Linked DNA regions of Schizosaccharomyces pombe. Changing the gene in region 2 together with the main gene of any one other region gives a genetic interaction. Each region holds a gene or a part of one and is shown on either strand. Other genes may lie near its edges.

The links. Genes that interact genetically often act in the same process or in processes that back each other up.
Region 1: mutations in mmd1 (region 2) and hst2 impair growth when combined (synthetic growth defect), as found in Schizosaccharomyces pombe (one large-scale study listed by BioGRID).

Annotation. Positions count from the first base shown.
Region 1 is NC_003421.2:1,327,321-1,331,290, forward strand, and holds hst2 (histone deacetylase, Sirtuin family, NAD-dependent Hst2), read left to right. Parts: upstream 1-1,631; 5' UTR 1,632-1,777; coding exon 1,778-1,856; exon of another isoform or gene 1,857-1,858; intron 1,859-1,913; coding exon 1,914-2,290; exon of another isoform or gene 2,291-2,357; coding exon 2,358-2,900; 3' UTR 2,901-3,470; downstream 3,471-3,970. Other genes in the region: ribosome quality control complex subunit Rqc2, read right to left, coding at 1-810, 856-987. UniProt on the Schizosaccharomyces pombe protein: NAD-dependent histone deacetylase, which could function in telomeric silencing, cell cycle progression and chromosome stability.
Region 2 is NC_003424.3:4,633,860-4,637,667, reverse strand, and holds mmd1 (deoxyhypusine hydroxylase), read right to left. Parts: upstream 2,194-3,808; 5' UTR 1,922-2,193; coding exon 965-1,921; 3' UTR 770-964; downstream 1-769. Other genes in the region: SPOM_SPAC30C2.03 (uncharacterized protein), read right to left, coding at 1-398; dynein heavy chain, minus-end directed microtubule motor Dhc1, read left to right, coding at 2,912-3,808. UniProt on the Schizosaccharomyces pombe protein: Catalyzes the hydroxylation of the N(6)-(4-aminobutyl)-L-lysine intermediate to form hypusine, an essential post-translational modification only found in mature eIF-5A factor.

The sequences.
Region 1 (3,970 bases), on a different chromosome or scaffold from region 2:
TTCGTATAATGTAGTACATTCTTCAGGGTGTTGAGGATCAGCAGCATTTGTTAGTGCTTGCTCCAGTGAAAATATATAACCCTTTACTGGGGGCTTATTAACTGCAGCTAATATGGAGTCGGCTTCTTGAAAAGCAGCTAATAAATCGTTTTTCTTGGTTTCGTCTGCACAGAGCTGGCAAGCAGGGAATAGTGGATCTAATTTTGAACGCCGAAGACAGTGCTCTATAAGTGCATTACCATATTCACCTAATCTTATAGTCAATGCTTTTCTAAGAGAAACTGGTTTGGGTACTTTAATCGGCTTTGTAGAAGAGGATAGTTGTTGGTCAGGTAAAGGTTCGTTAATAGAAGTAGGAGAAGCATAAGCAGTGCTTATTTCATCCAAAAGGATATTTAATCGTTCAGCTGTCATATGAGGAATAGTAGACTGAGATTTATTGTCATTAACGAGATTATTTTTGTCTAAATTGTACTTTTGCCCTACGGCATAAACTTGGTCTTTATCGAAGGTGACCACTCGTAAAAGAGACAGAATCTTGTAATGGCCGTCTAATAGTAAAACATTTCCAGCAGCGAAAAATTCACAAACCAGATAGTACGTCCAATCGGGGTCTTGATCATTCGCACCACCTCCAAATGTGAAAACGAGTACTCGATCAGTACCCAACTGAGAGACACCAGTTAACCTTCTAGATTTTATATGTTTTCGTAGCTTCGTTACAAACCCAGACAAAGGGGCATTTTCTCGATCAAATTTTGTTAAATGAGCACGAAACCCACTTTCAATAACAATAGAATATTTTGCATCCTTTAACGGGTTAGTAAAAAAATATTTATTACTTTCTACACATACTTGTTTACCAAACTTCAACAAGAAGGTACGCGCATTTAGATCATAAAAGTTATTCAAGCGACACCCAACCACTTGTTCTCGTAATTCCGCAGCAATCGCAGCAATATCTAAAGCGGAAAATCTTTGCTTCATTTACGTCTATAACACCTATCTAAATGAATTTCTGCGTTACAACAAAATGAAGTATAGGCTCTAGTTAGAATGTAAACATGTGTATAACGTAAGTGAAACTGAAGCACTAACAAAGCGCAATGATATCCGCAATATGTAATAAGGAAAATTATAGCACACCATTGCACCATAAAACGGTGTACATTAGCAGCATTAAAATTCTTAGCGCAAATTTGGATTGTTCTCTCAAATTCATTATTTCTTTCCCGACGATGATTCTTTAATCGTACATTTATAGTCGTACATGACACTGATTATAAAGATAAAAAATAGTTAACTAATGATAAACTTATAAAAAACTTTGACACCTAATATGTCAAACTGGTGTGACCAACCCAATAAGTAAAACCAGAAAGTCAAGAGTTATCGTTGCTGAATCTAATCAAGTGAGCCGAAAGTTGATTAATCATAATTTCTGATTACCCCGTATCTCATTTTTTCAACGACATCCAGAAACTCTTAATTGAAAAAGATGGCTCTAAATGTTTACCAAATAACGAGTACTAAAGTCGAATACAATAGCCTTTTAAACAGTATAATGCAGTTTAATGGAGCATCGGTAATGGCGTTTGATATTTTCAACGAGTAAATAATAATGGAAATTTGGCGTACCCACAAACTTTGTGCATTAACATATTGATTTGTTCATATCTGAGAATTTTAAGTGATCCAATTTTTGAAAGAGTTTGAGTTGGGATTTTTAAGGTAAATCGATTATTGGCTTGCTTTGGTTGTTCTCAGAAATTCGACAATGGTGAAAAACACTGTTAAACACGTCGACTCTTCCAAGCATTTAGAGAAAGTTGCATCCTTAATCAAAGAAGGAAAAGGTAATGACTTTTAATTTTCTTTCCTTGACCATACTAATGCGATTTTATCGAAAATAGTAAAGAAAATATGTGTTATGGTTGGTGCAGGGATCAGCACTGCAGCAGGAATCCCTGATTTTCGAAGCCCTGAGACTGGAATTTACAATAATTTACAAAGATTTAATCTTCCTTACGCAGAAGCTGTTTTTGATCTATCTTATTTTCGAAAAAATCCGCGTCCATTCTACGAATTGGCTCACGAATTGATGCCTGAAAAGTATAGACCAACTTATACTCATTATTTTATACGCCTTTTACATGATAAAAGGTTACTACAAAAATGTTATACCCAAAATATTGATACCTTGGAGCGTTTGGCAGGTGTGCCTGACAAAGCTCTGATTGAAGCACATGGCTCTTTCCAATACAGCCGCTGTATTGAATGTTACGAAATGGTAAGGATTGTTTTTGAAAAAGTTAAAGTGAAAAAGCAGAAATTGGTTTTACTGACGGAAAACAAAGGCGGAAACGGAGTATGTTAGAGCATGTATTATGCAAAAACAGGTCCCTAAATGCAACAGTTGCAAAGGTCTCATCAAACCAATGATTGTGTTTTATGGCGAGGGATTACCAATGCGTTTCTTCGAGCACATGGAAAAGGACACAAAAGTCTGTGATATGGCACTGGTAATTGGAACAAGTTTACTTGTTCATCCATTCGCGGATTTGCCTGAAATAGTGCCAAATAAATGTCAACGAGTTTTGATTAATCGAGAACCAGCTGGCGACTTTGGGGAGAGAAAAAAGGATATCATGATATTGGGGGATTGTGATTCCCAAGTACGTGCGTTATGTAAACTATTAGGATGGTCTGATGAATTGGAAAAGTTGATTGATACGAGTGTTGAAACGCTGACAGAAGAAATATCTTTACTTTCTGTTGACTCTACAATAGAAAAGAATGCCTCTGAACAAAAGAAAGACGATAACTCGGTCAATCCTTTCACTAAAATAGAGGAGAAGAAAAAAGACGAGGTGACGCTGTTAGTTTCTGATGATGAATAGTTCAGTTATTCGGGAAATTTTCTATATTGTCATGATTAAAACTAGGAGATCCCTATATTTATTATACTAAGAAAACGGAAATTCACGATTCGGTTTGATGAATATTTGAATCTACACATACGATTCGTTTTCTTTTAAACAAGTTTAAATACTTTTTTTTATTTCAGCAATTTTATAATATTTCCTTCCAGGCGTCCTTTTGATTGCCTCTTAACCATGAATCATATTGCTCTCTTTATGAGTTGTATGCTGGGTTAAACTAATGCGAAAAGGATAACAAAAAGGGGGTTCTGTATACGATCTCGATCAAACTCATGAAGATGCCCTCGCATTTTCGTGAAAATAACTTGCATTTTTTTTAAAATTGGCGTCCATCTATATACGCAATTTGGGTTATGAGAAAGTTGCGCTAGAATAATTGATAATGGTTTCAAATTTACTGCACTGTAATCTAATACAATCTTTGTCGAAACCTTTTTTCTGTTCAGTTTGGAACATATAGTTCTGAAATGGGAGATTATTCATTTTCATTTAATAAAACTTTGAATTATCCAAGAATTGGAAATAGGAATAATTAATCAAATTGTTCTTTTTGTAGTTTCATTCAAGAATAATGCTTCCTTTGAAAAACTAAAGCGTTTTCTACGAATTGTATATTGTAACAGGGGACGGTGTATAAACCAGTTAGTCCATCATCATAACCAGTTCTGATTTGAATTTTGTTCTTGTGGTCATTATTGTTCATAAAATGAACTAGAGATGTAAAGACATAATTCATATTACAGAAAACAAGTATCTAAGCGCTTGAACAATTATCAGTTAATTTTAGAACAATTATTAAATTTATATCTATTTTATCTGCATATATCTATGTACCTTTGGGTAACTTATGAGTTGTACGAATTACTGACTACATGGCTGTCACCTCCTGTTCGGTTTGCTAAGAATTTACCGATTCTAACGCTTCCTTCTACCTAGCTATACAAGATTCATGAATTTGATCTATATGAATGCTTAGCAAATAAATAATTGTTCGAAAGCCAGATATATGATTTATAATTAACGTTTTT
Region 2 (3,808 bases):
TTTTCGTTAACATACAGAGCCTTAATAATATCTATAAAGGTTTCTCTAATACGAGTAGTGTTATGATGGCGTACAACTGCACTTTTATGAACAGATTTTTTTCCAGACCTTATAGCCAGTCGGATTGGCGTTTGAGAATAATCTAACTTAGGAAAGCGGTATGACCTGTTGTTTAAAAATTCATGAAAAGGAATTAACCAAGCTCTTGGTATACAGTACAAAGTCATATATTTAGTTCTGGCCAATTTTTGAGTAGCCCTGATAATTTGCATTTCTTCTTGGCTTATTTTTTCCTTGGACAAATATCCCAAACTAATAGAGTGAGAAGATTTGGGTCTGAGATGTGGTTGTATATATTGAACAAGATACTCAAAGTTTCTTTTCAAATTAGAGGTCATTCTTTTAGCGTTTAACAATTTCGTACTATTAAATTTGCACTCTCTTTTGGATGATCATTTTTAATCCTGTGTGAATTTATTCAATCTATTATACAAACCAAAAAATTTGGTTGTTATCAATATGGGCGGTGTGAGTAAAAGAACACTATTTCAATGTTCTCTGGGCGTTTGCAAAGAAATGCAGTAAGCGTTGGATATTTGAAGGAACTGATATATTTTGAAACAGTAGTTGGTCACTTCACACTACACAATTGTACATACTAGTAAATTCTAGGACCTCAATGGTAATTGGGTGGGTTTAATGCTTTACCACAAAATTTAAAACTTGAGTGTTACGACGTATTGAAAGAAATAAAATAAAAAGAAAAAACTTATGCAATAAAGTAACCAATAAATTCCAATAAACTACTAACCAATTTTTATTAATGAATTTCAGAAATTTTCAGTAATGTACATTTTCAATAACTGTTATCCAAAAATACCCAGAATTTAAAATCCTAATCTACAATGAAAACCCAAAGAATCTGGCTAAGCTAAAGTAGCGAACCCAACCATACGAATCCACATTATGCACTAACTTTGGGAATATAGGCATATTCCATATCACCAGATTTCTCATATTCGATCATATCAAGAGCAACGATGCAGGATTCTGCAACAACACGTACATCATCTTTCGAAAACTTCTTTAAAACAGGAAGGCATTCATCGTTAGCAATACCACCTAATGCTTCTGCTGCTTCATGGCGAACCATGGGAACTTCTTCAGTATTTTCCAACACTTTAATCAGAGCAGGAACAGAAGCAGGAGCAATCATTTGACCGAAAACGAAAGCAATTTCATGACGGAACAAAGGGGAAGGATCCTTAAAACCGTCTGTTAAAGCCAACACCGCTTCTTCGTTACCAATGTTACGCAAACGAAACATCACACGATAACGGTAAAATAAGGGCAAATTTTGGTCGACAATTTCAGAACGAAGTTTAGCTACCTCAGATTTCACATCTTGTTCGTGATCGGGCATGGGAGGAGCGGGATCGACAACTGAATCATACATACTGGGAGTAATCTTCTCATTATTCTTATCGAGGCCGTTCTTCCATTGAATGCGGGCAATAGCCAGTTCACAAGTTTCGCGAATAGGAGCTAAAGGATCTTCCTTATAGTATTTTTCCAAAACAGGAAGGCTTTCAGTAAATCCCAAGGCTCCCAAGGCTTCAGCTGCTTCGTGACGTACCATGACTTGTTGGTCAAGATCGTTCACAATATTAATCAAAGGCTGAACAGCATATTGTTGTCCTGATTGCCCCATAACATAAGCCATTTCATGTTTCAGTAATTCGGAATCATCAATAAAGGCTTTGTAAATCGCATCAACGGCACGCTTGTCCCCCTTCTTTGCCAACGCATTCAGACTAAAAAGGGCACGATAGCGAAAGGAAAGAGGATTTGATTTATCTAAATTGACAAGCACGCGCTCTAATTCATCAATAACTGCTTGGGGAACGGGTTCTGAAGACATGTTTAACTGACAAGAAATTTCTCTTGAAAAAATATCAAATTCGACAAGAGAAATGATATTAATTAGCGCTGTGTTTTGTTTTAAATCAGTTAAGTAAGGGAATAATAGTAATGCGTATTACTTTCTTCCTAGAAGTAGCGATGTATCAAAAGCGGTATATTTCTTAAAGCGCTCAATTTTCTTTTTTTCCCTCTATCTATTTATTTAGAGGACTCACTTCTTTCCTATTGTTTCACACTAACTTCTGTCAATATAAGTTGGATGGTGTTGATTAACTTTTCAAGCGATGCAACGTCGCTAATATATCTACAAACATTGACCACATTATTTAGCAAGCGTTGAAAATTTTCACATAAATGGTACGATTTTTCTTAACAGACAAATTTTACGCTGATATCAACTGTGAAATTTGCTTACAATTTTTGTAAATCTTCTTTTGATTCGGAACATCATTTTTAATCACATACCTAAATTCTAAAAAGTTGCCGAGGTAAATTAATGATACTAAAATTTAATCAATGCCATAATATTTTAGGCACGATTATAAATAATTAACTGTTCGCAGTTGATATAAGAAGATGATTATCAACATGTCTTTAACGTTTGGAATTTCCCGTAGTAAAATTCTTTTCAATTAATTTACTTGATTTTGGTGAGATTGAAATGAATTCTTTTATACAGGTTGGTGCGATTTTAGCATTAAAATAATATTTTTTTTAGAAAGAGACTTGCCTTTGCAAAAGTTTCCACCGTAGTATTTTAATGTCAAACGAAACCGAATCATCGAGGCGACTTTGAAACCCTATTGTCTGATGATGCTCCTTAAAAGCTTTCTTTGTTTTTATACAGCAAATTTTCTTTGTTTACGATTATTAGATTTCTTTGTTCCGCGTTACCGATTTCAATAATCAAACAATATGAAACACTACCACCTAGATTTTTAAAGAACCTTTGGTACTCTAAAAAAGCCGGTCAAGTTTTCTTGACACCATGGATAAAAACGATAATTCACAATGTCAATTATCTACGGTGTCCGATGAAATTCTGATTTTCTTGAAGAAACTCCTTTCTCTTTCTGTTTCTGATAATTTGGATGATATATGCGAAACAATTGCACTACAGTCTACTTTCGTGGACACTTTTCGCAGCTTCATTAATGATGAATATTATACAGTTATTTATTTATATGGTAGTCCTTGTTTGACGAGTTCTCCCACTTCTCCTGACTCTTGCACTTTCGGAAATATGACTTTTCAATGGACTAGTTTGTTGCAAGATGTGTTTTCCGGCACCTCAGCATTTGCTATTTTTAAAAGATTCCCACTAACTGATACACCTTTAACATTGCAAAATATGCTTTATATAAATCAGTTACCTATATTAAAAGGAGGCCATAAATCTAATGAAATACCAGAGCGTCCTATAAATGCTATCTTTTTATACACAAAATATGTGATGAGTTGTTATTTTACTGCTTATTTGGCTATGGAATCTGTGGACGATCGTTCAACGATTGATTTAAATTCACCATCAAAAGGAAAAGAATTGGAACTTACATGCCAGAAGTTTGCTGATTTTGAACGTTCGTTTACCTTCTTTTGCCGTGAATATCAAAATTCTGATACAATCCTTCAACATCATCCATTAATACTTTCGACAATCAAGCATGCAGAAGAGAACAATCTAGATCTATCGGTTCGATTATTACCGTCAAAAGTTCTTTCTGACTCTGAGTTTTATAAATCTCTTAGTAATTTGGTTAATGTCTGGTTGAAAACAACTCGCAGTTTGATTAAATTGTTTCATGATCAAATTTCAAAAACGGCTTTAGAGGAGTTTAACTTTTGGCAATTTTACTATCGCTCTTTAAGCCGTTTAAATGACCAA